Callithrix jacchus: one gene and its partner. The protein of the gene in region 1 interacts with the protein of each later gene in a pairwise test. Links are inferred from orthologs where the notes say so. Each region holds a gene or a part of one and is shown on either strand. Other genes may lie near its edges.

Region 1 (16,275 bases):
TTGCCTCAGCCTCCTGAGTAGCTGGGGTTACAGATGTATGCTACCACCCCTGGCTAATTTTTTGTATTTTTAGTAGAAATGGACTTTCACCATGTTTGCCAGGCTGGTCTTGAACTCCTGACCTCAGGTGATCCACCTGCTTTGGCCTCCCAAAGTGCTGGGATTACAGGTGTGAAGACTTGGCTTTATTTTTGTTTTTAAAGGGAGTAGGAACAGAAGGAAATACAGGGCCTTTGAGATGTGCCTGGAGGGGTAAAGTGGTTAGGATTTTCCCAGGGAAGAGGGAGAGGATTTTAAGTAGATAAAATAGTTGGGGGAAAGGTTCATGAGTGATAGCGTTGTGATTTCTTCCTTTTTTTTTTTGAGACGGAATTTTGCTCTTATTGCTCAGGCTGGAGTGCAATGGCTCCCAAGTTCAAGCAATTCTCCTGCCTCAGCCTCCCAAGTAGCTGGAACTACAGGCACCTGCCATCATGCCCAGCTAATTTATATATTTTTAGTAGACATGGGGTTTCTCCCTTACATATTGGCCAGGATGGTCTCGAACTCCTGACCTGTGATCCGCCTGTCTTCGCCTCCCAAAGTGCTGGGAATACAGGTGTGAGCCATTGTGCCTGGCATGATTTCTTCTTCCAAGAGTCTGGTCTTATGGAGAGTGAAAGCCATTGTGACCTCTCCCCACGTTGCAGAGAGGAGGGCTCCAAGCATCAGCCTCAGAGCACACATTTCCTCCACTGTCTCCCCAGTGGGCATTGCTCTCACTTCCCAGCACTCCTGGTTGGCATCAGGGCTGCCGCAATGTGTCTCAGAGTTAAGAACACTCAGATGCTCTTAAAGTTGAAAATGATAAACCCCACTCCAGAAAGAAGTGCCAAGTCCCAGAGTACCAGGGGCAGGAAGGGCAGGAAGGGCAATAACATTTACTGCATACCTCTGTACACTTCACTCCTAGGCCATGTCTCTCTAGACCTTCTGCTAGAATGAGTCTCCCAGGCTCCCCTTCTCCTGGGAACACTTCCAGCTACTAAGATGTCATGAGTGCCCAGAAGGATCAGGAAGCTGGGACCCAGACCTTCCCTCTTTCCAGGCTTACTGTGGGGCTGTCAGACTTCCTCCAGGTTGTCTTAACCACCCCGGGAAAGTCCAGGTTATTGGAAAGTTGTCCCTTCAATCTACTTTCCTCCCTCATTGCAATCTGTCCACTGCCTTCACCCCAGCCAGAGCTGCTGGGAAGAAAGTGCTGTGCCTGGGGTGGCTGTGTGCCTATTTACCACGGAGACGGGAGGGAGGCAGGTACTCAGTCCTCTGCAGATGGCAGCTGCTCCCCCGCTGGGAGGGTCTAAGGGAAGAAAGGGAGAAGCCTGGGAGAGTGGCCAGGTCCTGTGCCCATCCGTGCTCATCGCGTCTGGGAGCAATGGACGGGGAAGCCCTCAGCCAGCCGCCAGGAGAGACCCTCTCCCTTCTTGCCTACAAACAGGCCTTGTGCTGGCTACACACAGGATGAGCAGATCTACAGGAAGCAGGTCAGAGCTGAGGGCCACGGCAGGGTCCCTCCCAATCAGTGGCCTCCAAAGCTGAGATTTGGAGGCAGAGGGAGGTTGACAAAAATATTATGAAAAGCTTGGGTGGAAAAAAGAGTAGGAACTGGAGATATACTAGGAAAAGGGGAATGGGGGCTGGAAATAGGACGGAAACTGAGAGGCAGTGAGGGGGAGGCAGGGACACCTGGGTGGATCATGGGAGGTCTGAAATTCAGGGACCTCCCAGAAGCAGAAAGTTGGTTTGAACTGTATGCCCTGTACCCAACCTCTACCTGATAGCCTTGTTTCAGCCTGTGCCTGCAGGGTTAATTTTTTTTTTTTTTTTTTGAGAGAGAGGACCTCTCTCCTCTGTCACCCTCAAGCTTCAAGGCTTACAGCAGCCTCCACCTCTCAGGATCAAACAGTCCTCCCACATTAGCCTCCTGAATTGGTAGGACTGCAGTTGCATGCCACCACATCCAGCTAATTTTTTTTTTTTTATAAAGATGGGGTTTCACCATGATGGCCAGGCTGGTCTTGAACTCCTGACATCAGGTGATCCACCCACCTCGGCCTCCCAAAGTGCTAGGATTACAGGTGTGAGCCACCATGCCCGGCCTAAATTTTTTTTTTTGAGACAGAGTTTTGCTCTTTTGCCCAGGCTGGAGTGCAGTGGCATGATCTCGGCTCACTGCAACCTCCACTTCCCTGGTTTAAGCAATTCCCCTGCCTCAGCCTCCCAAGTAGCTGAGATTACAGGCACACGCCACCACACCTGGCTAATTTTTTTTTGTATTTTTAGTAGAGACGAGGTTTCACCATGTTGACCAGACTGGTCTCGAACTCCTGACCTCAGGCAATCCACCTGCCTTGGCCTCCCAAAGTGCTGGGATTATAGGCATGAGCCACTGCGCCTGGCCTCCAGCTAATTTTTAAATGTTTGTTTTGTTTTGATTTAGGTGGAGTTTTGCTCTTATTGCCCAGGCTGGAGTGCAATGGTGTGATCTCAGCTCACTGCAACCTCCACCTCCCGGGTTCAAGAAATTCTCCAGCCTCAGCCTCCAGAGTAGCCGGGACTACAGGCATGCACTACCACACCCGGCTAATATTTGTATTTTTAGTAGAGACAGGGTTTCACTATGTTGGCCAGGCTAGACTTGAACTCCTGACTTCAGGTGATTCATCCACCTCAGCCTCCCAAAGTGCTGGGATTACAGGTGTGAGCCACTGCACCTGTTTTTAAATTTTTTACAGAGATGAAGTCTCACTATGTTGCCAAGGCTGGTCTCAAACTCCTGGGCCCAAGCGATCCTCCTGCCTCGGCCTCCCAAAGTGCTAGAATTATAGCTGTGAGCCACTACGAATGGCCTGCAGTGTTTAATTTGGCAAGATGAAGGAAATGCAGTGAACTGGAGACCTCTAGTTTTCTTCAGTCCCTGCAGGTATTCCTGCTGGAGATAGGGTCCTGTCACCCCGGCCCCACTGACAGACACCTCAGCTCTTATGATCTTTGTGTAACTCATCCTTCTTCCTCCCACTCAGACCAACTGGAGTCCGACCTCTTCTCAAGATCTACCCTTTTTCCAGCATTGCTGTCATTTCATTCATGGTCTCTGCCCTCTGTGAAAATGAAATCTGTCTGGCAGTTTCTCCCTTACATCCTCATCTCCACTCACCCTGCCTCATGCCATGATGCCAATATTTTTTTTTTTGAGACGTAGTTTCCCTCTCATTACCCAGGCTGGAGTGCAATGGCTCGATCTTGGCTCACCCCAACCTCCGCCTCCTGGGTTCAGGCAATTCTCCTGCCTCAGCCTCCTGAGTAGCTGGGATTACAGGCACACACCACCATGCCCAGCTAATTTTTTATATTTTTAGTAGAGACGGGGTTTCACCTTGTTGACCAGGATGGTCTCGATCTCTTGACCTCGTGATCCACCTGCCTCGGCCTCCCAAAGTGCTAGGATTACAGGCTTGAGCCACCGTGCCCGGCCCAGTTTTTTTTTTTTTTTTTTTTTTTGAGACGGAGTTTTGCTCTTGTTACCCAGGCTGGAGTGCAATGGCGTGATCTCGGCTCACCGCAACCTCCGCCTCCTGGGTTCAGGCAATTCTCCTGCCTCAGCCTCCTGGGTAGCTGGGATTACAGGCACTTGCCACCATGCCCAGCTAATTTTTTTGTATTTTTAGTAGAGACGGGGTTTCACCATGTTGACCAGGATGGTCTTGATCTCTCGCCCTCATGATCCACCCGCCTTGGCCTCCCAAAGTGCTGGGATTACAGGCGTGAGCCACTGTGCCCGGCTGATGCCAATACTTTTATTCTGTCCCTCAGAGGGTTGAGGTTTAGTAAGGGTTCCTCAACTCCCTCCTAGCAGTATTCCCTCCTCCACCATCTGAAATTCAGACTGGGACTCCAGTCATCCTGTTGCTTTTCCTTCCATTAGCTTAACTCTCCCAGCCCCCCTCCCATTTTCCCTCAGCCTTCTGAGCTCAGGAAATGGTGCATGGGAAAGGCCAGGGCTGGGTCTCACACAATGGTTTTATTTAGCTCTAGAATGAGATCACATTATGTCATATCACTGCTTCCGCTGAGCAGAGAGATAGGAGATTCTGAAATAGGTCTGGGATCAGATGCTTGAGACGGGGAGGTGGGGGGTGGGAAAGCAGAAAGGGGCTCTAAGAAGTCATTTCACTTGTCATCCTGCCTCTGGATGGAATCGTCTTCCCACCACTGCAAACCATCAGCGTGTCCTGTCCCTTCCTCCGAGTGTGTAACCTTCACAGATTGCACTAGTCATCAAAGATTTCTTAGGCATTCTACTGGAAGCTGGATGGGAATATGTATTTTAATAGAGAGAGAGACATCTGTTACTCAAAACTCTGAGACTGTAATTTCTTTAGGGCGCTACAGCTTTGAAGTCGGTCAGATTTGCTAGCTCTGCCCCTTTCTTTTTTTTCTTCAAGACAGTCTCACTCTGTAACTGAGGCTGGAGTGCAGTGGCACGATCCTGTCTCATTGCAACCTCCACCTCCTAGGTTAAAGCAATTCTCCTGCCTCAGCCTCCCAAGTAGCTGGGATTACAGGCGCCTGCCATCACGCCTGGCTAATTTTTGTATTTCTACTAGAGACGGGTTTTTGCCATGTTGGCAGGGCTGGTCTAGAACTCCTGAACTCAGGTGATTCACCCACCTCAACCTCCCAAAGTGCTAGGATTACAGGCATGAGCCACTGCACCCAGCCTAGCTATGCCACTTTTTTTTTTTTTTTTTTAAGAAAGGCAGACTGCCACATGCAGCACTTCATTTGGATGTGTCTGGAGCTATGCCACACAACCTTGGTAACTTATCTTTTTTTCTTTTTTGGACCCAGGGTCTGGCTCTGTGGCCAAACCTGGAGTGCAGTCTTGATCAGAGCTCACTGTAGTCTCAAACTCCTGGGTCAAGCGATCCTCCTGCTTTAGCATCCAGTAGATGGGACTACATGTATGTACCACCACGCTCTAAGTTCAAAAAAATTTTGGGGCTAGGCACAGTGGCTCATGCCAGTAATCGAGCACTTTGGGAGGCTCAGATGGGTAAATCATGAGGTCAGGATTTTGAGACCAGCCTGGCCAATATGGTGAAACTCTGTCTCTACTAAAAATACAGAAATTAGCCAGGCATAGTGGTGGGTGCCTGTAATCCCAGCTACTAGGGAAGCTGAGGCAGGAGAATAGCTTGAACCTGAGAGGCAGAGGCTGCAGTGAGCCAAAACTGTGCTACTGCACTCCAGCCTGGGCAACAAGAGTGAAACTCCATCTAAAAAAAAAAATTTTTTTAGAGATGGGGGTCTCACTGTGTTGCCCAGGTTGGTCTTGAACTCCTGGCCTCAAGTGATCCTTTTGTCTTGGCCTCCCTAAGTGTTGGGATTAGAGATATGAGCCCCTGAGCCCAGCCCGGCCAGTGTTTTTGACCCTCAGACTCATGTATAAAATGAGAATGAGAGGTTGGGTGCAGTGGCTCATGCCTATAATCCCAGCAGTTTGGGAGGGTGAGGTGAGTGGATCACCTGAGGTCAGAAGTTTGAGACCAGTCTGACCAATGTGGTGAAACCCTGTCTTTACTAAAAAGACAAAATTAGCCAGGCACGGTGGCTCACGCCTGTAATCCTAGCACATTGACCAGGCTGGTCTCAAACTCCCGGGCTCAACTGATCTGCCTGTCTTGGCCTCCCACAGTGCTAGGATTACAGGCATAAACCACCTCGCCTGGCCAAAACTTACTTTGTAAGGATGTTGAAAGACTTGATGATAATGTATGCAATGCAACGAGTGCCCCTTACATCTGTCTTTGGTACATATTAGGTGCTCAATAAATACTATTATTATTTTATTATTGTTACTTAGGGGTCATAGAGACAACAGGGCATGTTGAAACAGAGAGCTAGAAAGAAAGAGGCTCAGCCGGGCTTGGTGGCTCATGCCTGTAATTCCAGCACTTTGGGAGGATGAGGCGGGTGGATCACGAGGTCAAGAGATTGAGACCATCCTGGTCAACATGGTGAAACCCCGTCTCTACTAAAAATACAAAACTTAGCTGGGTGCGGTGGCGCACACCTATAATCCCAGCTACTTGGGAGGCCGAGGCAGGAGAATCACTTGAACCCAGGATGTGGAGGTTGCAGTGAGCCAAGATGGCACCACTGCACTCCAGGCTGGCGATAGAGTGAGACACTGTCTGAAAAAAGAAAAAAAAAGAAGGAAAGAAAAAGAAAAAAGGAGACCCAAGATAGAAGCAGAAATAGGCATTATATGATGGTGACCCACCGTTTTCTCTTAGAGAGAGAATAACCCATGGGTGACACTAACGTAGCTATGATGGGAACAGTTCTCATAAACAGCTCCTGATGGGAAAGCATGTATGCAACCAGAACAAGAAGAGCAAGAAGAAATGGGAGCTTTTTTGTTCTTTGGGACCCTGTTGAGCCCTGATATAGATGTCCTCTTCAAGGAGAAGAAAGGGATAGAATGGCCTCTGGAAATTTAAAGCAAGGGTTAGCAAACTCTAGCCTCTGGGACAAATCTGTCCTGCTATCTTTTTTTAATAGGTGAAAAAAAAAAAGAATACTTTGAGACACAAAATTATATGAAATTCAAATTTCAGTCCCCATAAATAAAGTATTTTTGGAATGCAGCCATGCTCAGTCATTTACATATTGTCTATGGCTGTTTTTGCATATCAACAAAGTTGATAGTTGCAAAAGAGAGCCCACAAAGCCTGATGTATAGATATATCCTGAGTCTGGGATCCTAATATATATATATGTGTATTATATATATATATATATATATATTTTTTTTTTTTTTTGAGGTGGAGTTTCACTTTTGTTGCCTAGGCTGGAGTGCAATGGCATGATCTCAGTTCACTGCAACCTCCGCCTCCCAGATTCAAGAGATTCTCTTGCCCCAGCCTTCAGAGTAGCTGGGACTAAAGGCACGCACCACCACTCCTAGCTAATTTTAGTATTTTTTAGTAGAGACGGGGTTTCACCATGTTGGCCAGGTTGGTCTCAAACTCCTGGCCTCAGGTGATCCACCTGCCTCGGCCTCCCAAAGTGCTGTGCTGGGATTACAGGCATGAGCCACCATGCCTGCAGCCTTGACTTTCCAGGCTCAAGCAAGCCTCCCACCTCAGCTTTTGGAGTAGCTGGGACTACAGGCGCATGCCATCACACTGGGATAATTTTTGTATTTTTTGTAGAAACGAGGTCTCACTATGATGCCCATGCTGGTCTCAAACTCCTGAGCACAAGTGAAATGCTCATCTTGGCCTCCCAAAAGTGCTGGGATTACAGGCATATGCTACCATGCTTGGCCTAAAATATTTGTTATCTGGATCCTTACAAAAAAAGTTTGTCAACTCCTGATCTAGAGCAACTGGGTCTCAAAATCTTAGGAAGGAGGAGAAAAAAGATAAAAGAGGGACGTGAAGGCTCACTACACACCAGACATTCTGTAACCTTTTCAGGAAGAAGGGACACTGAGACATTGAGACCCCAATATACCTACGTCCTGGTTTTTTTTGTTGTTGTTTTTTGTTTTTTTGAGATGGAGTCTTGCTCTGTTGCCCAGGCTGGAGTGCAATGGCGTGATCTTGGCTCACTGCAATCTCCACCTCCCAGGTTCAAGCAATTCTTCTGCCTCAGCCTCCCAAGTAGCTGGGATTACAGGCGCTTGCCACCACGCCCAGCTAATTTTTGTATTTTTAGTAGAGACGGGGTTTCACCATGTTGGTCAGGCTGGTCTCATACTCCTGACTTCTGGTGATCCACCTGCCTCGGCCTCCCACAGTCCTGGGATTGCAGGCATGAGCCACTGTACCCAGCCAACATACCTACTCCCTAAATGTCATCTGAGGCCTATGGAGAGAGATAAAAATGAGTGTCAACATCCATTTTGTGCCATCCTCAAAATATTTCTTGAAATAGACATTATTATCCCTGTTTTACACATGAAGAAACAGGCTGCATAGGTGGTGGTGCGTCTGTAATCCCAGCTACTTGGGAGGCTGAGGCAGAAGAATCGCTTGAACCCGGGAGGTGGAGGTTGCAGTGAGCTGAGATTGTGCCACTACACTCCAGCCTGGGTGACAGAGTGAGACTCTGTTTCAATAAAAAAGAAGAAAAAAAAAAAAAAGAGGGCTCACAGAGACCTTCAGTAACTGGCTGGAAGTTACACAGCTGCTAGGAGGTGGAGATGAATTTTCAAAGCTGATCCATCACATTATGGAGCCTAAATTCCTTTCTGAAACCAGAAAACAAGCTCCCAAAGAGAGCAAGTGGCTAGCTTTTTTTTTTTTTTTTTAAGACAGTCTCCCTGTGTCACCCAAGCTGGAGTACAGTGGCACAATCTCGGCCACTGCCTCCCAGATACAAGTGATTCTCCTGCCTCAGCCTCCTGAGTAGCTGGGATTACAGGCATGCACCACCATGCCTGGTTAATTTTTATAATTTTAGTAGAGATGGGGTTGCTCCGTGTTGGCCAGGCTGGTCTTGAACTCCTGACCTGAAGCAATTCAACCATCTTGGTCTCCCAAAGTTCTGGGATTACAGACCTGAGCCACTGCGCCTGGCCTATCAAGTGGCAAGCTTTTCTTTTTTTTTTTCTTTCAAGATAGAGTCTCACTCTGTCACCTGGGCTGGAGTGCAATGGCGCTATCTTGGCTCACTGCAACCTCTGCTTCCCAGGTTCAAGCAACTTTCCTGCCTCAGCCTTCTGAGTAGTTGAAATTACAGGCACCCACCATCGTGCCCAGCTAATTTTTGTATTTTTGTAGAGAAGGGGTTTTCACCATGTTTCCCAGGCTGGTCTTGAACTCCTGACCTCAGGTGATCCGCTCACCTTAGCCTCCCAAAGTGCGGGGATTACAGGCATGAGCCACCACGCCAGGCCAAGTGGCTAGCTTTGAAAGAAATCTGGCAACACTGTTTTTACCCACCTTATTCCTACCTCCCTGACCTCAGCCAAAGAAAGGAAGCAGCTTCCAAGAGAAATAAGACAAGGGTCCCAAAGAAGTGAAATGTATCCTTTCGTCAGCTTAGGCCTCTGAACGAGGTGATGGGGAACAGACGGTGTTTGCTGGTTGTGTTTGCTGCCAGCAAACACTGAACATCGGGGAGGAACTGCTGGAGCAACCACACAGCCAGGCGCTGTGGCCTGGAGGCAATGCTGGCTGGCCCTTTTGCAGCCTGAGCAGCTTTCTGAGTTTGGCTGTGGGATCCTAAATCTACCAAGGTGGCCGATGTTGGAGAAGACCCAAGAGAACTGGATAAGAAAGACTGAGGAGGAAGAGAGAGGGCAAATGGCATGTCGTACTGGGCTCTCCTCCAGATCTCCTGGGCACGGGCAGGGGTGGGGGGAGCACAGGGTCACAAAAACTCTTTGATGGTTCAAAATTTAACCTAACATTTCTTCTCCTGTAGAAAGTAAACCATTAATCCAACAGTGCCCTGCAAAGAAGGTAAAGCAAAGCTTCTCTTCACCTCAGATAAAGAAGGTCCCGGGAGATACAGTGCCTTCCCACCTGCTCCCTAGATACCCCATTCCAGGATAGGAGCACCCGAGTCTCTGATACCCTCCTGCTTCACCCATCTGCCTGACTTGGCTGAACGCAGGTGTCCTGGAACTCTTTCTCTCACCTTCCTGTCCACTGCCAGAGAGTAGTAAAATTCCAAAAATGAAAGGCAAGTAAAAGATACAGAGGATCCATTCATTCAGCAAAGATTACTTTAGCACCTTCTAGGTATTAGGCACAGAGAAGAGGACCCAGAAAGGTCTTTGCACAAACACAAACACAATGGCGAGACCTGGCTACTATCCCTCAGTGGGGCAGAGGCCAGTATGGGCAAAAGCCATTTGTCCATCAGCTTCCGGGTTGTCTCCTGAGAGACACTGTATGCAGAGGCCAGTATGGGCAAAAGCCATTTGTCCATCAGCTTCCGGGTTGTCTCCTGAGAGACACTGTACTTAGTTCTGGAATTTCAGAGCATCTGCAGAACTCTAATGTAACCGCACCCCGCCCCACTAAGCCAGCTGCAGGCATCTCAGACGCTCCCCCTAAATCATCCCCGTGTCGTTGATGTACTAGTTTCATAAGCTGGTCAGGAATTTTGCTGATCTGGGCTTCCAAGTATGACCCCCTTTTTTTTTTTAATTGGCTAGTAAACTGAACTTAGGGACCCTGCCCTCTTCCCTTCTGCTGGACCTGTAGCTGTATGCTTAGTCCAACAGGGGCTTGGGACCCAGAATAGCCCTTCGTCTGTGGGGGACAGGGAAGAAAAGGGTCAAGACCAACCTCCTGCCAGTTCCCTGGCATGTGTTCTGGGTGCTACGCCAGACGGGTGGGGCAAGAGAGGGTCTGAGGGTAAGGACTCAGGAAGGGAAGAGGGAAACTCACCAGACCTGGGAGATATCCCAAAGATGGGGGACCTGCTTCTGTCCTCAGTTGGTGACTTTAGTGCGGGACAAAGTCCTGTTTCAGGTGGCCCCCTTAAAAACCCAGTCCAGCACCTTAGTTGGGGGCACCTCTCTCTTGGTCCTTTTAAGGGAGCTGCTCATGGTCCAGAAGTTTGCATAGGAGAAAGAGGGGACTCAGTCCAGTCCAGACCAGCTGCCTCTTCAACCACTATAGCCCTTCCCTTCCCCGCCCCACTTCAAACACCCTAAACAGTGCTGTGCCCAGGCCCTTAACCCTTTCAGTGCCACCACTGATCCCAGGGACTCCTGGGTCCCTCTGTCCTCAGCATTTCCTGAACACAGAGTGACCACATAGAATTTAGACTTGTGTGGAAACAGGTATAAGAAGCCATGCTGGGGTCACCCTGAGGAGAGAGTATGTAGGAACCTGACAGCCCAGGGAACATTCACCCTCCCTCCAGGAGGGTCAGGGAGAAACTGGGGAGGGGAGAAAGCAGACATCTCAGGGAAAGAAACAGCTGCCACTGGAAACCTACTTAACAGCAGGGTCCTCAGCGGGGCAGTGGGGGGGTTCTTCATCCAGCTCCAAAACTGATGGTCCACCAGGCTCCGTGGCTCATGCCTATACTCCCAGCACTTTGGGAGGCCGAGGAGGGATAACGAGGTCAGGAGTCAGAGACTAGCCTGGCCAACATGGTGAAACCCGTCTCAACTAAAAATACAAAAATTAGCCTGGCGTGGTGGTGCACACCTGTAATCCCAGCTAATGGGGAGGCTGAGGCAGGAGAATCAATTGAACGTGGGATGCACAGTTTATAGCAAGCCAGGGTCACACCACTGTACTCAAGCCTGGGCAACGGAGTGAGACTCCATCTCAAAACAAACAAACAAAAAACCCTGATTGTCGGTCCCTTTAAGAGGCAGGTTACGGCAATGGAGGAAAGATTGTATTTTTTTTTGTGATGAAAGTACAGGGTGGAGCGTTACAAGGCAGCTGCACTGAGAAGGGCCCTAGCGTCAGCACCAGGAACCGAAGTGACCAAGCAACTCAGCATACCCAGGGCTCATGGCTTGTTGTGGATACCAGCGGGATATTGACTGGCTCCTCCACTCTCTTCCCAGATAACAGCTTCTGGGGCGGGGCAGGGGCTGACTCACCTTCTCCGCTTTCCCTGGGGCAGAGGACAGCTGGGGCGGAAGTCGGACTTCCTCAGGTAACTGGGAGCCCTCCTCACCTCCTGTGGTCTGGTAGAAAGGGCAAGTTGGAGTTGGAAGATGGCTGGGTCTGCCAACTCACTAGTTACAGGGCCCTGAGTCCCCTATGTAGCCTCATTTCCTCATCTGTAAAATGCAGATGTTAAATGAGACGTGCAAACCAAGTCCAAAAGTGGAACATAAATGCTGGGTCCATAATAAATAAATATGCTAGCTGCCACTGGCTGGGCAACCTTGGACAAGCCGCTTCAACCTGCGTCTTTCCTGACCTATTAAATGAGAGGATTAAATTAGGCAATCTATGGTCTATCCTTGCTTGAAAATTCTGCTGCCAGAGGCAGAACTGTGTGCCCTTCCCCACCTGGCTGGGCCCCACCCCAACACTGAGAAAGTGACAATGGCTGTTCCTCAAGTTCCTCACTTCATAAGAATACAGGGGTGATGCCCGCCCTATCATACTGGTGAGGGGTCCTCAAAAATCCTCTAATTAAACAATTTTGTGTTTGTCCAGATGAGGAAACAGGCTCCAAGATGGAAAGCTATTATGTGTCTATATATAATTTATATATATAATATATAAATAACATGTTGTGTGTGTGTGTGTGTGTGTGTGTGTGTGTCTGTATAATTTTTGGCCAGGCACAGTGGCTCACGCCTGTAATCCCAGCACTGGGAGGCCAAGGCAGGCAAATCACGAGGTCAGGAGTTTGAGACTGGACTGGCCAATATAGTGAAACCCCCTCTCTACTAAAAATACAAAAATTAGCCAGGCATGGTGGCATGTGCCTATAGTCCCAGCTACTTGGGAAGCTGAGGCAGAAGAATCTCTTGAATGCAGGAGGCAGAGGTTGCAGTGAGCCAAAATTGTGCCACTGCACTCCAGCCTAGGACAGAGTGACAGAGCGAGACTCTGTCTCGAAAAAAAAAATTTTTTTTTTTCTGTTGAGATAGGGTCTCACTCTGTCACCCAGGCTGGAGTGCTGTGGCATGATCATGGCTCACTAAAGCCTTGAACTCCTGGCTCAAGCAGTCCTCCTGCCTCAGCCTCCTGAGAAGGGGGCATGATTTACCTAAGGCCATACAGTCAGTGAATGGTGGAGTTGGGGCTGGGACCCAGTACTCCTGCCTCCATGGCATATGCTGCTACTCACCCTCAGCTGCTCTTTCAAGAGACTACACCTTGGTAACTTCTCACCCTTTCACTGAATCACTCCATTACTTCCAGCTTGGTAGATTTTTTTTTTTTTTTTTTTTTTTGAGATGGAATCTCACTCTGTCGCCCAGGCTGGAGTACAGTGGCACAATCTCAGCTCACTGCAACCTCTGCCTCCCAGGTTCATGCAATTTTCCTGCCTTAGCCTCCTGAGTAGCTGGGACTACAGGCATGCACCACCACAGTCAGCTAATTTTTGTATTTTTAGTAGAGACGGGGTTTCACCATGTTGGTCTGGGTGGTCTCGAACTCCTCACATCCTGATCTGCCTGCCTCGGCCTCCTAAAGTGTTGGGATTATAAGTGAGAGCCACCACACCCTGCCACTTTGTAGAAATTCTTTTACCTGTTTCCCATTTACTTTCTTCGAGTGTCAAAGCTGATTACAGGAAGGGGGCGGAAATCAAGGTACCTGGCTCCTCCTGGTACTGGGGCAGGGTGTGTGCGTAAGCAGACACCAGCTGAAAGTCTGCACAATGAGGGAGGGCTGGAGGGCTGGTCTCCAGGGGTGGGGGCACCTGAAACAGGCTGGCGGCTGACCTATCTGTATTGCCTTTTAGGGAGGAGCCTCAGTTTGGTACCCAGCCTCCAGGAAGGATGTGGGATCACTGCTTACTTTCCTCTCCCCTCACAGGTCTGCACACAATCCTGAGATCAAGGTCCATGCCTCTCTAGGGTGGTTTTCAGTCAGAGTGGAGGAGTGTTGTCTGCCACTCATCCTCCTATTAAATTACCTCAAGAAGTTAAGAGGGCTCAATCCTAAAGCCAACGATTCCAGCTAAGACTGTCTATAGATTTTAGAGGCTCTTTTATTCTCCAACACCACTACTTAAGGGAGGTTCACATTCCATCCTGACTCCAAGAAAGTTGATCTCTTAGGAGATGAGGTATCTAGCTTTGGCCTTTTTTCAAGGTGCCTGTGACACCAACTGCCTTTACAATGCTTCTCTTGTCACGTGTGTCAGGCCTGGGTTTCCCTCCTAGTCGCCCTCTCCATGACAAGGGCTAGGACACAAAGTGCTGAGTTTTGTAAGGGAAAGTACAATAAAGACACCCCAGCTTTTGGGAAGAGTTCAGATTAAGGAAGAAATCTTACAGACAGTCCCCGACTTACGATGGTTTAAGATTTTTTTTTTTACTTCACAAGTGTGAGAGCCACACACATTCAGTAGAAACCCTATTCCAAGTACCATAAAACCATTGTTTCTTTTACTTTCAGTACAGTAGTCAATAAATTCCATGAGATATTCAACACTTTATTTTACTTTTTGAGACAGTCTCGCTCTGTCGCCAGGCTGGAGTGCCGTGGCGTGATTTCGATACACTGCAACCTCCGCCTCCTGTGTTCCAGCGATTCTCCTGCCTCAGCCTCCCAAGTAGCTGGGACTATAGGCATGCACCAACACACCCAGCTAATTTTTGTATTTTTTCTTTTTTTCAGCAGAGATGGGGTTTCATCATGTTGGCCAGGATGGTCTCAGTCTCTTGATCTCATGATCTGCTCACCTCAGCCTCCCGAAGTGCTGAGATTACAGGCACGAGCCACTGTGCCCAGCCAAACTCTTTATTATAAAATAGGCTTTGTGGCCCACGCCTGTAATCCCAGCACTTTGGGAGGATCACTTGAGCTTAGGAGTTTGAGACCCCGCCTGGCCAATATGGAGAACCCCACTCTACTAATATAAAAATTAGCTGAGCATGGTGGTGGGGATCTGTAATCCCAGCTACTTTGGGAGGCTGAGGCATGAGAATCACTTGAACCTGGGAGGTGGAGGTTGCAGTGAGCCGAGACTGTGCCACTGCACTCCTGCCTAGGTGACAGAGTGAGACTCCATCTCAAAAAATAAATAAATACAAATAAAATAGGCTTAGTGTTAGATGACTTTGCCCAACTGTAGGCGAATGTAAGTGTCCAGAGTATGTTTTTTTTTTTGAGACGGAGTTTCACTCTTGTTACCCAGGCTGGAGTGCAATGGCGCGATCTCGGCTCACTGCAACCTCCACCTCCTGGGTTCAGGCAATTCTCCTGCCTCAGCCTCCTGAGTAGCTGGGATTACAGGCATGCGCCACCATGCCCAGCTAATTTTTTGTATTTTTAGTAGAGACGGGCTTTCACCATGTTGACCAGGATGGTCTCGATCTCTTGACCTCGTGATCCACCAGCCTTGGCCTCCCAAAATGCTGGGATTACAGGCGTGAGCCACTGTGCCCGGCCCAGAGTATGTTTAAGGTAGAATGGGCAAAGTTATGATGTTTGGTATGTTAGGTGTTTTAAATGCATTTTCAACTTAAGACATTTTTCAATTTACAACAGGGTTATGTCCTGATAACCCTATTGGAAGTCAAGGAATTACCTGTATTACCTTCCAGAGTTATGAAGTTTGCCCTATCCTCTGAGCAAGAACCTCTCCCCCTATAGGTTAACTCATTATATTTTCCTTGGAGACTACACAGATGGAAAATAGCACTTCCTCCTTCAGAGACTAACACTCCGTAGTCCTAGAGAGCAAAATGATGTGTATCAGACCGGCTCCCTTTCCCTTCCCCACATCTGTTCTCAACCCCAGGCCTCTGACTCATTGCCCCTTCCTCCCCATTCTCCTGAGCAAGTCCCAGGGTCTCTACCAGGAACACAATGAACAAAAGCAAGTACATCTTCCTTGCCTCTAACCTGGCCAGTCCTGGGATGTCCAAGCTGCAGCCCCCGAAAGAGGGATGTAAGCTGGCAGAGGGCTACTCCATTTGGAGCCTCCCGTTGTCTCCATGTTCTTTTCATCCTCCTGGGGCCTGGAGGCTCCGACTGCTGGGCTAGGGAAAGGTTAAACCAGTTGGGCAGGGGAGCCGGGGAAGCAGAATCTAAACTGGGCAACTCGGTAGCAGGAACAAAGCCTGTGTTTGTTGGGTTTCCCTCCTGCCTGGGAGGCTGTTCTCAGACCACGGCATTCCTGGGTTGGACAGAGTCAGCTCAGAGTGGCTTCTCCCCACTGTTGCTTCAGCAAAAGTCACTGCCGTTCCATAGGTCACACTTAGAGTCAAACTCAAGGGATCCAGGCACTTCTTCCCTGCCAGAGTTCAAAGAACAGAGGCATTGAGAGTAAATTCAGGCCAGGTGCGGTGGCTCATGCCTGTAATCCCAGCACTTTGGGAGGCTGAGGCAGGAGGATCACTTGTCAGGAGTTCAAGACCAGCATGGCCAACATGGTGAAACCCTGTCTATACTAAAAATTAAAAAATTAGCTAGGTGTGGTGGTGTGTGCCTGTAATCCAAGCTACTCAGGAAGCAGAGGCAGGAACATTGCTTGAACCAAGGAGGTGGAGGTTTCAGTCAGCTGGGATAGCACCACTGTACTCTAGCCTGAGGAACAGAGCAAGAC
Region 2 (15,758 bases), on another chromosome or scaffold:
AGATGGTGAGGGAGAGAGTTCCCAGGGCCAAGAACCCTTTCAAAGTGCCAGGCATTAAGTGCCCTTGTGGGCTGGGAGGAGCTTCTTTAGGGCCTGCTCTGCTTATAATTTTGGACTCACTGTCTCCCAGCTGGATCCCTACAGCAGCTTTTTCACTGCTCTTCCTGTCCTGTACCTGCAATCCACTCTCCACATTTTGTAGCCAGAGTTCTCTTTCTAAACACAGTCTGATATTCCACAGAACTCTCACCTTGAAGCCTTCAGTGACATTTCATCTCCCTCAAGATAAAGTCCAAGCACCTTGGCCAGGCTTGCAGGCCTCCCTGTCTGACCCCGCTCACCTCTGAGCCTCATCCCTTACTCTCTGCCTTGAATTTCATGCTCCAGTGATCATTTCTACGCTGCTTCTATGTCTTGGCTTATCCTTCCCTTCACCTGGAATGTCATTCCCACGTCTCTCCTAAGCTATTCAAGATTCCACACAGGTATCACCTCCTTTTCTTTAAAGCTTTGCATGTCCCTAAAGGTTAGAATAGGGACTCTGTCTGAACTCCTGCAGCAATAAACTTCCCTAATCTGTGTACTTGTCACACCATAGGAAAACTTTTTTGTTTTTTTTGAGATGGAGTTTCGCTGTTGTTACCCAGACTGGAGTGCAATGGCACGATCTTGGCTCACCACAACCTCCGTCTTCTGGGTTCAAGCAATTCTCCTGCCTCAGCCTCCCGAGTAGCTGGGACTACAGGCACACACCACCATGCCCAGCTAATTTTTGTATTTATAGTAGAGACGGGGTTTCACCTTGGTGACCAGGATGGTCTCAATCTCTTGACCTCGTGATCCACCCGCCTCGGCCTCCCAAAGTGCTGGGATAATAGGCACGAGCCACCGCACCTGGCTTTTTTTTTTTTTTTTTTCCAGATAGAGTCTCTATCACCCAGGCTGGAGTGCGGTGGCTCTATCTTGGCTCACTGCAACCTCTAGCTCCCTGGTTCAAGACATTCTCCTGCTTCAGCCTCCCAAGTAGCTGAGATTACCAGGGTGCGCCACCACGACCAGCTAATGATTGTATTTTTAGTAGAGATGGGGTTTCACCATGTTGGCCAGGCTGGTCTCCAACTCCTAATCTCAGATGATTAACAGGCCTCGGCCTCCCAAAGTGCTGGGATCACAGGTGTGAGCTACTGCGCCCGGCCTCCATAGGGAAATTACATATGTGGTTATAGCCCTCGTGGGTTTGGAGGTTCCGAGCCCAGTGGCTAAATTTGTCACGTTGTGGATGATCATTAGCTGTTTTTTAAATAACTGAGGGGTCACTGAGCACATTAAGGATCAAATTCCAAGTCTCTGTGTCTTGGGACTCTTGAGGCCTTCTGCACAGACCCTGGAAAGGAATGGGCTATCCCTTTGCAAATGCTGCCACCTTGTGGCTGAAGTCAGAAGTGAGTGTAGCCAGAACATCACCTATCAATGTGAAAGCTGGGCCAATTACAGTGAGGAGAGGGGAGGTAGTCCCCAAGGGAGTGCTCAGTGCACCAGTGTCCTTTGAACATTCGTGATGAATTCCAAGCAGATAGAATGACAAGGACAAAGGTTCAGAGGCAGAAAATCTTATGACACTTGGGAAGGGTGAGTGTAGTTGGAGCCTAGGGTCCAAGGCCAAAGATGGACTAAGCCATGGGCAGAGGCCAAGCAAAGGGGTCCTTTAAAAACACCTAGTGAATGAACTTGGATCCTGTCCTCTAATCTTGGCATGGAGACTAAGGGAATAGAGAAATGACAAGGTCAGATCTGAGTATGGCCCCACATTAGGGGGGCTCAATATTTATTCATTTACTTGCTAAATATTTATTGAGCATCTACTATATGCCAAGTGATGTTCAAGATCCTTAGGTTACATAAGGGAATGAAACAAAGATCCTTGCCCTTTTGGAGCTTACATTCTCATCAGGAGGCGACAATAAACAAAAGTGTTATTTTAAAGATGTACATATCATAGAGGTTAAAAAAAACTGGGGGAGGGGGAAAGGCAGGGTAAGGAACATTGAAAGTGCTGGACTACAATTTTAAATGAAGTGGCCAGAGTAGACCCCATGAAGGTGACATTTTATCAAAGACTTAAAGGAGGGAGGGAGAGAACCATGCAAGTATTGGGGGAAAAGCATTCTAAACAAAGGGAATAGCCAGCAGCTTGGCTTGGGGGAGAGCTCTGGGGGGAGTGAAGCATGGAGACCAGTATGGAAACTGCCAAGAGATGATGAGTGGCACAAACCAAGAGAGGCTTTGGGGATGGAGACCTAGAGGCCAAAATGGGCAGAACTTGGTGCCTGCTTGGATATGGGAGGCACATAACTCCTTCAGGCATATTGTGTTCTGATGTCCCGATTTCAGGGGGACAAACAGGAGGTGGCTAGACATGCCACCTCTAAGACAGGTAGTGAGAATGCTCAATACATTCCATCCTGGATGACTCCATTGCCCACCAGGATGTTCCCCACCTCACCTTTCCCAGCCTCAACTCACCAGCTTCATCTTCAGTGACTCTTCCTCCAGGCCCTCCAGCTATCCACTCTCATGGACACAAATCCTATCAGCTCTGAAAACCCTCAATTTTATTAATACCTTCCCACTCTTTAGGTGTGCCCTCCACTCCCACTGCCCACCCCCTGCCAAAACCAAATACTGATATCTTCACCCCCAGTAACTTAGAATGTGACTTTATTTAGAAATAGGGTCTTTATAGAGATAGCCAAGTTAAAATGAAGTCATTAGGGCAGGCCCTTATCCAGTATTAAATGGTGTCCTTACAAAAAAGAGAAATTTGGACACAAAGACACACAAAAAGGTAAGATGGGGTGCAGACACAGGCATATGCCATGTGAAGATTGGCATGATGCACCTGTAAGTCAAGCTTGCCAAAGAATGCTGGCAAATCACGAGGACGAGGCAAGAAAGGATTCTCCCTCAGATTTCAGAGGGAGTGTGGCCCTGCTAACACCTTGATTTCAGACTTCCAGCTCTGAACTGTGAGACAATAAATTCTGTTGTTCTAAGCCTCCCAGTTTACAGCACTTTGTTACAGCAGCCTAGGAAACCCATACAGCTATAGCATTCCTGTCCTGGGATAGTCCATCTCACCCCACCCCATCTTCATGGGGATCTCCAGGCCACTGTCCCCTGTCCACTTTCCCTCACTTCCCTCCTAGCACAGTTTGGATGCCTTGGTCCTTCACTACATGTACTCTCTTGCTAGTCTCCTCATTAATCTTCCATCATTCCTGCCTATCTTAAAATCAGTCTGGAAGAATGTAACTGTGCTTTTTTTGAATCCTCACCTATCCCGTGGGTACTGCTAGAGCTCACACACCCTGACCAACAACCCTATCAGCCTACACTGGGCTTTTACCCCTGTCTGGTCATCCTCCTGCACCTCTCCCTAGTCATTTCTCCCAACTGCAACAACCATCTCACGCATCCTTCCCTCCAGCTGCCTCGCCCCACTCTCAGCTGTAGAGCTGGACTTCTGTTTTGAGAAGATAGAGGCCTTCTGAACTCCCTCATGTCCCATCTTCACCTCCAGACCTATCTGCATACATATCCGTCCTAACTCCATCCCTCTTGTTACAGGAAGTTATCCCTCCTCTTCCCTTTGGAGGCCTTACCACCATGCTTCTGGGTCCCATTCGCTTTTACCTGCTCAGGAACATCATACTGTGAGTTATTCACAATTTACTGCATCCTTCATCATCTCTTTTCCTACTGGCTTCTTCTGTCTGTGAGCCTATAAACATGCTAAAGTCCCTGCTAGTCTATTAAAAACTACAACAATAACAACAACAACAAAAACCAACACTCTTTGTACTCCACATTCTTTTCCTGCTATCTATCACCCCTTCCACCAAAGAGGGAGAGAAAATGCCCTTCCTGGGACTCCAGAACTTGCAATGCTACCTCAGCACAGATTACCATGATTATTCCATGGCCCTCCACCCTGGCCATCAGTAGATGGGATGAGATCATCAGCTAAAGGTCAGTAGTGTGCAAGGTAGCCTGCCTGGCCTCAAAGCTCTGGAAATCCCATGATACTCAGAGAACTGCTGACGGCAGAAGACACACAAGTGAAGATGTTCAAAGAAAAAACAGTATGCAGAAGCTGAGAGGGAATAAAATTCCTGAATTAGCTTCGAGGAGAATGGGGGAAGTCAGTCAGTTGCTGATAGCGACACCTGAGTCACTGCCACTGCAGCCATAATTGCCTTTAGGGGTGTATTAGATGCTTCACAACCTGGGCATTTGATAGGCCTGGCTCAGCAGCTACTGAGATTTTCTCTTCTAATATCATCTGAATCCTCATCACCTGCCCTCCCCCAGGGTCCTCCACATCACTCAGAGCTGACCTATCTTTGAAAGCAAAGGATGCAGTATTTAAAGTTTTGACCACTGCCTGCTGGCCCTGTGGTCACCTCACCCCTCCTCTAAGCCCTTATCAAGACCTTCAGTTCCCCAATTCCCTCTCCCAACATCTCAATCCGTCTTGCCTGGTCTCAGTTAAGTATCATTTCAAAATCCTTACATTGCTGGGCCCACTCTACTACAATGTGAGCCCAGAAGAGCCCCAACCTTCTGCTTTCCTCATGACTGGACACCCAGGCTGCTGGACACATTGGAGAAAATCTCAAGATCCATGGGAGACCCAACTGATTCAGTTCTTCAGAGTTCACTACTGCCCGTAATCCAGCTCTAGTTCCCATAGGCCCCCGGCTACTGATGCAACATTCACCTCTCTCCTCATGCCCCTGACCTGAGAGTTTAAGGCCAAGGTGAAGCAGAAAAGGAGCAGCAAAGGGGAAAAAAGGCAAGGATGATACCTGAAGAGAGATGTGGGATTGAAGTATTTTTTGTTTTGTTTTTTTTGACAGAGTCTCGCTCTGCCACCCAGGCTGGAGTACACTGGTGCGATCCTGGCTCACTGTAACTTCTGTCTCCTGTGTTCAAGCTATTCTTCTGCCTTGGTCTCCCGAGTAACTGGGATTACAGGTGCACATCACCACATCCAGCTAATCTTTTGTATTTTTAGTAAAGATAGGTTTCACTAAGTTGGCCAGGCTGGTCTCGGCCTCCCAATGTTGGGACTATAGGAATGAGCCACTGCGCCCAGCCTGTTTTCTGTTTTTGAGACAGGGTCTCACTCTGTTGCCTGGGCTGAAGTGCAGTAGCACAATCATGGTTCACTGCAGCCTCAACCTCCCAGGCTCAAGCAATCCTCTTGCCTCAGCCTCCCAAGTAGCTGGGACTAAAGGTGCACACCACCATGCCCAGCTAAGTTTTGGATGTTTTTGTAGAGACAGGATCTCACTACTATGTTGCCCAAGCTGGTTTCCAACTTCTGGATCAAGCAATCCTCCTGCCTCAGGAGGATTACAAGCATCAGCCACTGTGCCCAACCCAAAGATATGTTTCTAAGATAGAAAAAAGCATGTTTGCAAACTAGCAGAGTTAAGGATAAATGTGTATACAGATAGGTCTGGAGGTGAAGATGGAACATGAGGGAGTTCAGAAGGCCTCTATCTCTTCAAAGCAGGAGTCCAGTTCCACAGTTGAGATCAGGGCAAGGAAGCTGGAGGGAAGGACATGTGAGATAGTTGTTGCATTTGGGATAGGTAAGTCATTAATAATCATAATAGTAATTAACATTTAATAGCATTATGCGCCAAGGTGGTTTCTAAATGTCACGTATTTCTTTATCTAACCTCGTAACAACCCTATGCGATAAACAGTATTGTATTCCTGTTTTATGGATAAGAACACTAAGGCACACAGAGTAGTAACTTGCTAAGTGGCAGACCAGGACTGAAACCCAGGCAGGCTGGTGCCTGAGTCCATGCTCACAACCACTATACTATACTGTATGTTGCAGATGATGAGAAATGTCTGACCTGACAGTGTTCTTAAACCAGCCCAAAAACGGTACAAACAACTACCCAGGGAATTAACTATATTCAGTACTGACTGAGGCTTCTTATCTACACTAGATCCTCCCAGCATCAGCCTGAGCCTACTCTTCCTCTTTCTTCACCCAATCAGCTCCCGGGGGCTAAGGGCAGGGACTCCCATTTCTTTAATCCCACTCCACATAGCAGGCTGAGTAGAGTCTCATCAAATAGGTAGAAACTTTATTTTCTAAATCCCTCCCTGGACCTCTGTCAGAAGGCAGTTCAGATGCACTGTAGGTAGAAGACAGAGTAAACCCTTCTTTAGCAATGCAGAACTTGGCAGAGGCTCCACACCTGTCACTCTTCACAGCAGTCCCTTCCCACATACCAGAGAGAAGGGGAAGCAGGACAAGGGGGCCCACCTCTGTGGATCTGAGCCTTGATGGGGATGTCTAGCAGTCACAGGGTTTTTCAGAAAAGACACACATCTCAGACATTCAGGCCTGGAGAACAGCCTGGCTGAGCAGGTCTTCAGGATCGGGTATCTCAAGTCCTTCTTCGGGTACGAGGGCCAGAGCTGGAGCTGGGCATGGAACCCAGGCCAGGGGGTGCTCCTGGGGGTTGGTAGCCACACTCATTGGGGTCCAAGGGGTCCCTGCTGAGCAGTACCCACACTGCAGGCACATGGCGGCGCACTGTGAGGGGGTCTAGCCCTGTGTCAGGTGAGGTTGGGACCCAGCTGTCCTCGGTCTGCAGAAAACGTAGCTTGGTGAGCTGGTGTAGGCCTGGGACCCGCCGCTTCACAATCTCAGCACAGCTGACAGCTTTTCCTGCAGCCCTGCCGGAACCTGAGAACACCACATGCCGCGCACTGCCGCCCTCCAACCGACCCAGCGCCAGCCCCAGCAGGTTGCGAATTTTGCTGCCATCTCGGACCCGCATCTCAAGGGTATCAGGAGGTAGCTGGGGCATTGGGGACGGTGCTGGGAGTTCCACAGAGCCAGCTTTCCGGTAGTGCTCCATCAGTTTGCTGTCTTGTGACTCTCGCTGCCCACTGCACGGAAGCATCAGATGAGTGCTAGGCCATGTGCCCAGGTCACTGTCCACCATCCCTTACCTCCCTTCAGGATGTGGCCCTGCTCCCCGTTCCAGACTTCCCAGAAACAGGATCGTATCCCCTGGTCCTTAGCATCTCATGACAAGGGCCATGCCTGCCTCACTCTGGGAAGGGGCTGTAGCCCCCACACCCCCGTCCTCTACAAGGGCCATAACACCCCCACCTCCAATCCTGGAGTCCCAGAGGCAACACCAAATTCCCCAAACACCGAGCTCTTGGGATAACGCCAGGCCCCCTCATCCGAAACTCTTCAGAACTGGAGCCTAGTCCCGCTTATCCTGGATTCCTTGGAACAGGGCCTGGAACCCTCACCCCAGACTAATACCAATAGAGAGCGCTAGTCACTTGGGGGATTACAAAGACAGGGACAAGGCACTTCGCCCCAGGGCCCCCGGAAAACAACCAAGGACCCTTACCCAGTGCTGCCCCCAAGCAGAACTGACTTCGCTCTCCCAGAGATTACCAGGGTCGAACCATATCAACCCAGGTCACTCAGAAACTCAGGGGCAGAGGCTCGACTCAGAAGGCTGCTCGGGCTATTCCAAGACAGCCCTGGTCGTTTCCAGGGTCCTGCCGGCCGCTGCGGTCAAGCAGCAGGCGTCCCCTCTCCCACCACTTCCGAGCGCCCCGCTGCCTGCCAGGTTCTAGCTCTCACCGAAGCCGCCTCACTGCCGATCCGGAGCCAAGATGGCGCGCGAGCCCAGAAGCTCCAAGGCCGCGGGGCCGCGCACGCCCCGAGGGGGCGGGGCCTGAGGGTCCGGCCGCGAGGCGCCTCCGCCGGGAAACGGAACCACCCGCAAGGCCGCTACGGAGCAGTCCCAGTGGGGCTGGGACACTAGCGCAGTCTCCACTGTAACGCCCTGGAGGGAGGCAGGAAGATATCCTGCGGTAGAAAGGAGTAGCCGTCAGAGAAGTCCTGCGTCTGAAGGAGAGGAATCTGGCTCTTAGAAGATGGGGAGGGCTGGCGTTACCTGTTGAGCAAAAGGGGAGCAGTGGGTTTCACAGTGAGTGCGAGCAGGAGCTTCAGTTTGGAGCTCATCTTGAAAGCTCTCATCTTGAGAGCTCTACACCTGCCAGAAAGCCAGACCAGGATGAGTTTAGTTCCCAGGCCGCTGTTGCAGAGGTGAGAGCCTTAATTACCGACTTCTGGGCTTCAGCCTCATCCTGTGGGCGCTGGCGGATTACGGGGGTTTTCCAGCGGCTTGTCGAACCAGATCTTGTGCAGAGAGCCGAGGAGTGGTGGGGAAATCAGGCCGCAGCCCCTGACGACACCTGGCCGCGGAGTCTGGGGGCTGAGAGGGCAGGGGTGCCTACGGAGCCTAGTATGGTGTCTGGCGTATGATCGGCGCTCAAATATTTGTTAAATGATTTGTTAAACTAACGAACCAGAGAAAAAGTAGTAGGAATGGAAAAAAAAGATTAGGTCGGGAGATACTAGTAGGTAGGTTCAGTCTCGAGTTGGCAACTGTTTGGACGGAGAAGTAGGGAATTCCGATCCAGGATGTCTCCCGGGTTTTAGACCAGTTTGCACACGCAGAATTTGAGGTGCCGGTGAGGTCGTGCAGGCGGGGCAGTCAGCGGGCCATTGGAAAAAGGGTCTGGAGCCAGAGCACTCCGTGAATCCACAAGGGGGCAGCAAACATTTGGTGGAGTGCGGGGCCAATCTGTTTCTCAACGTGCTTGCCCCAGCACCCCTACTTCCCAACTTCCCCTCCCCAGGACCAAAGCTTCCTGCATCCAAACCTCTTAGGCTGCCCTTCTCGGCTGGTGGCACCAGGTAGGCTCCCAAGAGAGAAATTTAAAGGCTCTTCTCTGCTTTTGCACATGCTGCTTCCTTGGTTCTGAAAGTCCCTGCACATCACCTACCAGGTCCCTTCAGTCCCTTTTTCTTTTGTGCCCACCTGATAGGACTGCCCTTTTCCTTTACTGTATACTGCTAGCTAGTGCAGGGCAGGGATTAGGTTAGCCACATCTACTCCCATCATCTGACATTTGGAGGTCTCTTCTTAGTAAACGTGGGTTAAATGGATATATAAAGGAATATCCCATTCACATCATCAAATGAGAGCCTTCATCTTGAGAGTGCTACACCTGCCAGAAAGCCAGACCAGGATGAGTTTACTTCCCAGTCCAGCCATTAGGGCTGACACCTCTGCCCCTCCCCCGACCCCCAACCTAAACCAGGAAGCCAGCACACTCCTCCAGTCATCTCTATGGTTTATTTTCACTGGAATAAGAACACTGATGGGGGAGAGGGTGGGCGTTGCAAATTTGAAATTTCAGGTAACCTGACCTCTAACTTTAGAGCCCCACCTGAGTACAGAGAGGTGGGCCTCAGATCCAATAAATACAAAGCGTCCATTGCCTTGTAACAAAGGTGGGTTGGCATAGGGCCCTGGAGCCTGACTGCCCAGGCCCACCCTGGGATGGGGAGCAGCTGTCACTCCTCTGCTGGCTTCACTTGCTTGGTGGCCTCTAGCTGGCAAAGTAGTTCATCCCACTGCACGAATTGCTTGGAGAGAAGCATTGTCTGGTTGTAGGTCAAGGAGAGAATAGGCGTCTGAGTGAGGAAGTGCATGGAAAGTGGGGAGAAGGCAAATACAGGTGGGTGGGATGGGATGAGAGAGAGCTAGCGGTGGGACAGAAGGACAGGGCTTGGGGACAACACCCAAGGTCCTAGTTGAGCAGAAAGGATACAGTCTTATTGTATTCCTCCAGGAGAGCCTTGGACTCCTCAGTGATCTCCACACACTGGTCCTGTAGGGCCAAAGTGTAGCATAGGAAGGAGCTGGGTAAAGCCCTTATCTTACAATACACTTCCTGCCTCATCAAGGACTCCCACTCCCCATAGAGCCTAAAAAAGATGATGCTGAATCCCAAAGCCAAAGGAACAAATGGCTATGGGAGAACTTTCAGGCTCCAGGATGGGTGCCCTAACAGCAGTTCAAAGACTGATCGAAAAGGGAGTGGCCATACATTAAGTAAACATTCCCCCTAGTGTATGTCTCCTCTTCTTGTGCCCTTATTTTTGAACTCTCTTTGAACTTTACACTAGGGCCTGGGAATAGTGAAAAAAGAGCTCCTCCACTCATAGTCAAGGACATACCATCCCCAGGAATTCTTGGGTACCTCCCAGCCTCAACCTTATGGTGTCTCAATAAAGCCCTGCTCTGGGAGGCAGGTTTGGACATGAACCTAGGCAAGTCCCTTTACTTCACTGGGACATATGGAAGATAAAGGATAAACCCCAAAGTTTCCTCTGAGCGTACATCAGAAGGGCCTGAACTTGCTTCCCCAGGTGGCAAGAGTGGGGACAAGGGGCTGTGCCACCTCTATCTTCCCTTCTAGTCCTCTACCCTCCCATACCTGCTGCTGAATGTGGATCTGGGCCAAGTGCTGCAGGCGAGCGGCATGCTCAGGAACAGCTGTAAAACAACGAATACTGCTGGATGATGCTTGTGCCCTCCCCTGGGACTGCTCAATAGTCTATTAGGTCTTTGGCAGGATTAGAGTATTGAGTGGAGAAGCTAAACAAACGCCAGACTTCATCGACCACTGCAGCTGGAGGTGGCGGTGGGGCTCCCTGCCCACTCCAGTCTTACTCCAGGACCCATAGGGGAGGGGAAGATACATGTCCCGAGGAGAAGAAAAAACCTTGGGGTTCCCAGTGTTGTCCCCTACCCCACCCCAGTGCTATAAGCAGGAACAGGTAAAGAGAGCTTTGGCTATCATGGGAATTGTCCTTTTGCTTTCAGCCCAGCGGGGCCAGGTCTGCCTAGCCTAGGAAATAGGAAGCCTGAAGATGGATGCCAGGTCCCTAAGCTGGAATCCAACACCCTGAGGCTCAGCTACCATGCTGGGCTCAAAGCTTAAGGCTGTCAGATACTCAGTGGGCAGCTGATCAGAGGTAAGGAGGGGGAGCTGGGAAAAATACCTCCAGAGACAGACAAGATGGATATCTGGATTCAATTAAAGCCACTGTCTGCTTGTCAAAGTCCAGGCCCAGGGACTGCTCTCAGCAGTGCAGCACAGAAAGAACTCACATACATTCATGCACCTGGCAGAGACTCTGATAGTAAAATCTGGGTTCTGCAGCACCTTGAAAGAGAGATGCTTGGGGGTGGGTAGAAGGCAGAAGGACTCCCCAAAGTTGGGGACTGCTAGAGCTTAGGCTAGTGTTCTCAGGCCCCAATTGCCTAAAGTCCTAAAACTGGGCTCTCTACTCTGGTAATTTTAATCCAGTGGATGTGGCAAGTACCCCCAGGGTAAGAATAAAGATAAGGAACTAGCCAGGCACAGTAGCTCACGCCTGTAATCCCAGTACTCTGGGAGGCCGAGGTGGGTGGATCACATGGGGCCAGCAGTTCAATACCAGCCTGGCCAACATGGTGAAACTCCATCTCTAAAAATAGCTGGGTGTAGTGGCACACACCTGTAATCCTAGCTACTTGGGAGGCTGAGGTGGGAAGTTCATTTGAACCAGGAGGCAGAGGTTGTGGTGAGCCAAGATTGTGCCACTGCACTCCAGCCTGGGTGACAGATTGAGACTGTCTCAAAAAAAAAAAAAAAAAAAAAAAGAAAGAGATAAGGAACAGACCCAATCTGAATCCACACAACCTGAAACACAAGAAAGTCTTGCCCATCCATCCACCCACCTTCCCAACCACAGTAGTGATGCTGCAGCCCCGGAGAGATACCTTTGATGTGAGCACTGTCCAGCATGGGCACCAAGGCGTTCACCTGCTCCAGGAGCGAAACCTGGGAGAGGATAAACTGCTCCTCTAAAGCAAAAATGGACAAGACAGTTGCAGTGAAGCAAATCTGGGCATTGCTACTCAGCCCATGTAAGGGCCTGAGGACCTGGCAAGGGAGATAGCTAGGTCCTAGAGCTTTCTGCAGTGACTCTGCCTGCTGCCCTCCTCTCTAGATGCACATTTTCATTCTGCCCCCAACTTTCCTGGATGCCTCAGGTCTGACCCATTTGAGCCTAAGGAGCCTCTCAATTACTCCAAATCCCACCTTTCTCCAAGGTTTAACTTCAAGGCCTCTTCTTCTAGTCTCCTATCAACAAACTCAGGGAATACCTCCTAGGCTACAGGATACAAAGTACTTCAGACTTGGATCCCCACACCCAGAGGTCCCTGGGAAGATCTAAAAAAGGAGATATGTGGCAGACTACACCAGGCAGGTTCTGCTCAGTGGCTCTCAGAGCATAGAGAATTATATGCCGAAGGAGAGCTGGGACAGTAATGGGAGAGTCCAGTGAGAAAAGCAGGATCTGGGGTAGGCCCTGTATGCACAGGGGGTTTCAATGCACTGAAATCCATAGAGTGGGAAAGGTATTCAAGAGGGAGACTGTTATGTGCAAATGCTTAGAGGCAGGAATACTTGTCAATTAGTAGAGGAGAAAGAATTCAGTTAGCTGAACTGGAGCAGGGAGAACACAGGAAACAGAGTTAGATGGGAGGGTAGACCCGGCAGAGGAAGGCTTTGAATGGCAGACTATGGAATTAGGACTTTATCCTAGCAAGGCAGGAGATTCCAAAGTAGGCAAAGTAACATGTTGGAAACATGTTTTTGTGACAATGAGACTGAACCACATGCAGGAAGGGAAAGATTAGTGTTAAGAGTATGATTTAGGAGACTGTGCAACCGTTCGTGTGGCACTGGATGTATAGTTCCTGAGGCAGTGCCACAGGGAGACATGGAGAGGCTGGACTCAAGAGTCAGTGCAGTAGAAGATCTGTACTTGGTGCTTAAGCCATGACAATTGATCAAGAGCCTTTTGGGAACTCTGACAGCCCTCTTAGCAGGAGCTGCCCAATCTTATCCAGTCCTCAATGCTGCATTGCACTGATCAGTCTTTTGGGAGACTAATCTCACATTTGGGTTAAAAGCTCAGGTCCCTGAAGCAGGAGGGACTCTGTCTCCCCTAGCATGGGCTGTGCTCATGAGGGCAGGGACTTTCTGGTTAACCACTGTATGCTTCCTCACCTAGGATAGAACCTGGATCAGAGTAGATGATCATTCATTATACATCTTTTGGATGAATAATGAAGCTCAGAAAATCCTAGCTTATAGAGTGGCTGACTGATAGCAGACATTGCTAAGGCAATAGTTCCTACCTAGAACTCTGAAATTGCAGCACTTTCTCACATGAAAGAAAGATGTTGAAATTCATGCCAATATTCTCTCTTTTCTTTCACAGCAATGCTCTCTGCCCCTACCCTTTCCTAGAAGCTCATCTGTCTAGTGAGCAAAAGTGAGGAAGGTTCTGAAGGAAAATCCAAGAGGCAGGCTAGTGATAGAACATTGGACTAGCTCCCACTGTGGCTGACACCATGGCCTGCAGCTGTTCCAGAGGCATACTGTACTCAATGTCTACTAGAGGATCCGTAGGATTCTCAACACAAAACCAGGCCACAATTCCAGAAAGCAGCATCCAGGGGTTGTATCCATCAGAAGACTGGATGGGGAGGCCATCTCTGTGCTTAACCTACCCAATGACCCACATCCTCAGATGCAGGTACACATGTAGCCCAGCATTACCTGCTAAGATGAATTGCAGCTTAGAGGCATCAGGTATGGCAATGCGGTCGATGTACTCAGGATCCAGGTACTTGATCATATCTTCAACTAGAAAAGTAGCGAGGTGGAAAATGGAATAGGGTTGGGGAGTAGAGCTGTCTTATGTAGGATGTTTGTCAGGTGGTCAGCCTTGAGGAGAGCCTTCAATGAAGAGCTGATACCCAACAGTGCCACATGAGAAGGGCTCCACCAGGCTCCCTATCCCCACTTCTCTATCTCCCCACTCTCTTCTCTTGAGGTCTCTTCTGACCTCAAGCTTCAGAGCTGAAAACACAATTGCCACCAACACTCTGGGCCCTCAGCATTCTCACTGACCTATCCTCACCAAGGCCTCTTTTCTCCTAGATGCCACCAAGACAAGTCAGAGCTTTGTCTAATTTCTAGTTACTAAGCAGGTTACTAGCTCTGACATAACCAGGCTCTCAGTGTCTAATTTGTTTCCTGCCTCTTAACCTTGCCTGGGAAATCCCAAACCCTGTTTACCCTCCTTCAGCAAGAGAAGCTTTCAGGCAGAGCACTTATTTCATAACTAAGGACACAGTCATGGGCTTGAGGTTTATCCACAAGGTAGAAAAGCACACCTCAATTTACCAATTAAATTGGGTGCAGGTAAGTGTCCCCGTAATCTTTCTATCCCCAAAGGGCTTTTCCAGTGACCTATTGAACTGAAGGGGCAGGGCCAGGTCCCAGGAAGCCTAGGGATGGGATGTTGGGCAGGTAGGCATATCATGGAAGCACTTACTCTTTTTGTACAGAATCTTCACCCTTTCCCTCTTGCTGGCAATGTTCCCCAAAGCCACCTGCACCTTGACCAGGCTGTCAGCCACCTGTAAGGGAAGTGGCAGTTAATTGCAAGATATACTACCTGGCTCAAGGCTTGGAAGAGGTAAAGAACCCTTTTTCTCCCAGATTCTCTAGGTTGGCTTCCCTTCTCTAATACTAAAGGAAATGCAGCCCCACCTTCTAGGAATCCTTAAAGTGGAGAGAGAGAGTCATGTACTCCTTGGGGAGATTCAAATATGGGGGAGATAATGAACTATTTTAGAGTTTTTGGAATATATTGTATACACAATATATTTTCTAGTTCCTAAGCCCTGGGTTTGGGCATGAGAAATGCAAGCATTCTCATTCAAGCCTTCATGACCTCTAGACTGGCTGGCCTACATCTAGTCCTATCCCCTCCAAAATAACTTTAGTGTGGGAGATGTAAGAGTCCAAGACAATTGGGATCCCAATGATGGTGAAATCACTGAATTAGGGAATACAGAAGAAAACTGGGTTAGGGGAGAGGAGGAGTACAGTTAAGAACCTATGAATTGAATGTGAGGTGCCTATTGGATATCCAAGTGGAAAAGAATCCAGTAAACAACTGGACATACAAGTCTTGTTCTCAGAACAGAAATCTGCACCAGAGATATACATTTGAGACACATTGACATGCAAATAGTAATTGACACTATGAAGGCGAGTGAGCCTACCTAAAGTTTAGGGGTAGAATGTAAGGAATCCCAGTATTAAAGGGTAAAATGGAGGACACTAAGGAAGTGACTGCACTCACCCAGTCTTTAGGGCAGAGGGTGAGGAATGCGAGTAGGGAGGCAAATAATTCTGAGAAGCAGCAGTGAGAGGTAGAAGGTAAACCAGGAGGGTGAGCATCAAAGATCCCAAAGGAAGAGAATGTTGGGAAGTTAGTTCTGAAATGGGAGCAGTCTGCTACTGGCAACTAATTCCTCCTTTCGTGTACAAACAGACATCATTATCTTGGATGCACTTAGCTCCAGGATATGCCTGACACGTCATCAGAAGTTCTTCAGTAAAAGGTCTTCCCACAGTGGAAATGGGAGGAGAGGGCACCTGAGCTTCGTAGTTGTCAAAATTCCACCACTAGTATAAAGTAGTGCTAGTCCACATCTGAATACCTAGTACTCATTCCTTCCTAATCCTGGCTCTTTCAGACCTCACCTCTCATCCTTTGGACCTTTCCTTATGCACCTCTGCTCTGTCTCCTCAGGGGTCCCATGGACCTCTTCCTGCACAATTCATTTGGCAATTAATTACGCAGGGCTCCATGACGGGCCTTCCTATCATGGACTTCAGCTCTTATTGAAACTCATTAGTCA

Evidence for each region.
Region 2: the proteins of ARHGEF2 (region 1) and RPP25L interact in binary tests that used the Homo sapiens proteins (3 or more experiments, as listed by UniProt). The two-hybrid records come from large-scale screens. The link is inferred for Callithrix jacchus from reciprocal best matches to the Homo sapiens genes ARHGEF2 and RPP25L.

The regions. Positions count from the first base shown.
Region 1 is NC_133519.1:16,373,176-16,389,450, forward strand, and holds the start of ARHGEF2 (rho guanine nucleotide exchange factor 2), read right to left. Parts: upstream 10,685-16,275; 5' UTR 10,455-10,684; intron 1-10,454. UniProt on the Homo sapiens protein: Activates Rho-GTPases by promoting the exchange of GDP for GTP.
Region 2 is NC_133502.1:141,471,443-141,487,200, forward strand, and holds RPP25L (ribonuclease P protein subunit p25-like protein), read right to left. Parts: upstream 7,753-15,758; 5' UTR 7,706-7,752; exon of another isoform or gene 7,467-7,705; intron 6,988-7,466; 5' UTR 6,957-6,987; coding exon 6,480-6,956; 3' UTR 6,157-6,479; downstream 1-6,156. Other genes in the region: DCTN3 (dynactin subunit 3), read right to left, coding at 9,491-9,580, 9,748-9,807, 10,417-10,475, 11,748-11,831, 13,600-13,686, 14,381-14,465. UniProt on the Homo sapiens protein: May be a component of ribonuclease P or MRP.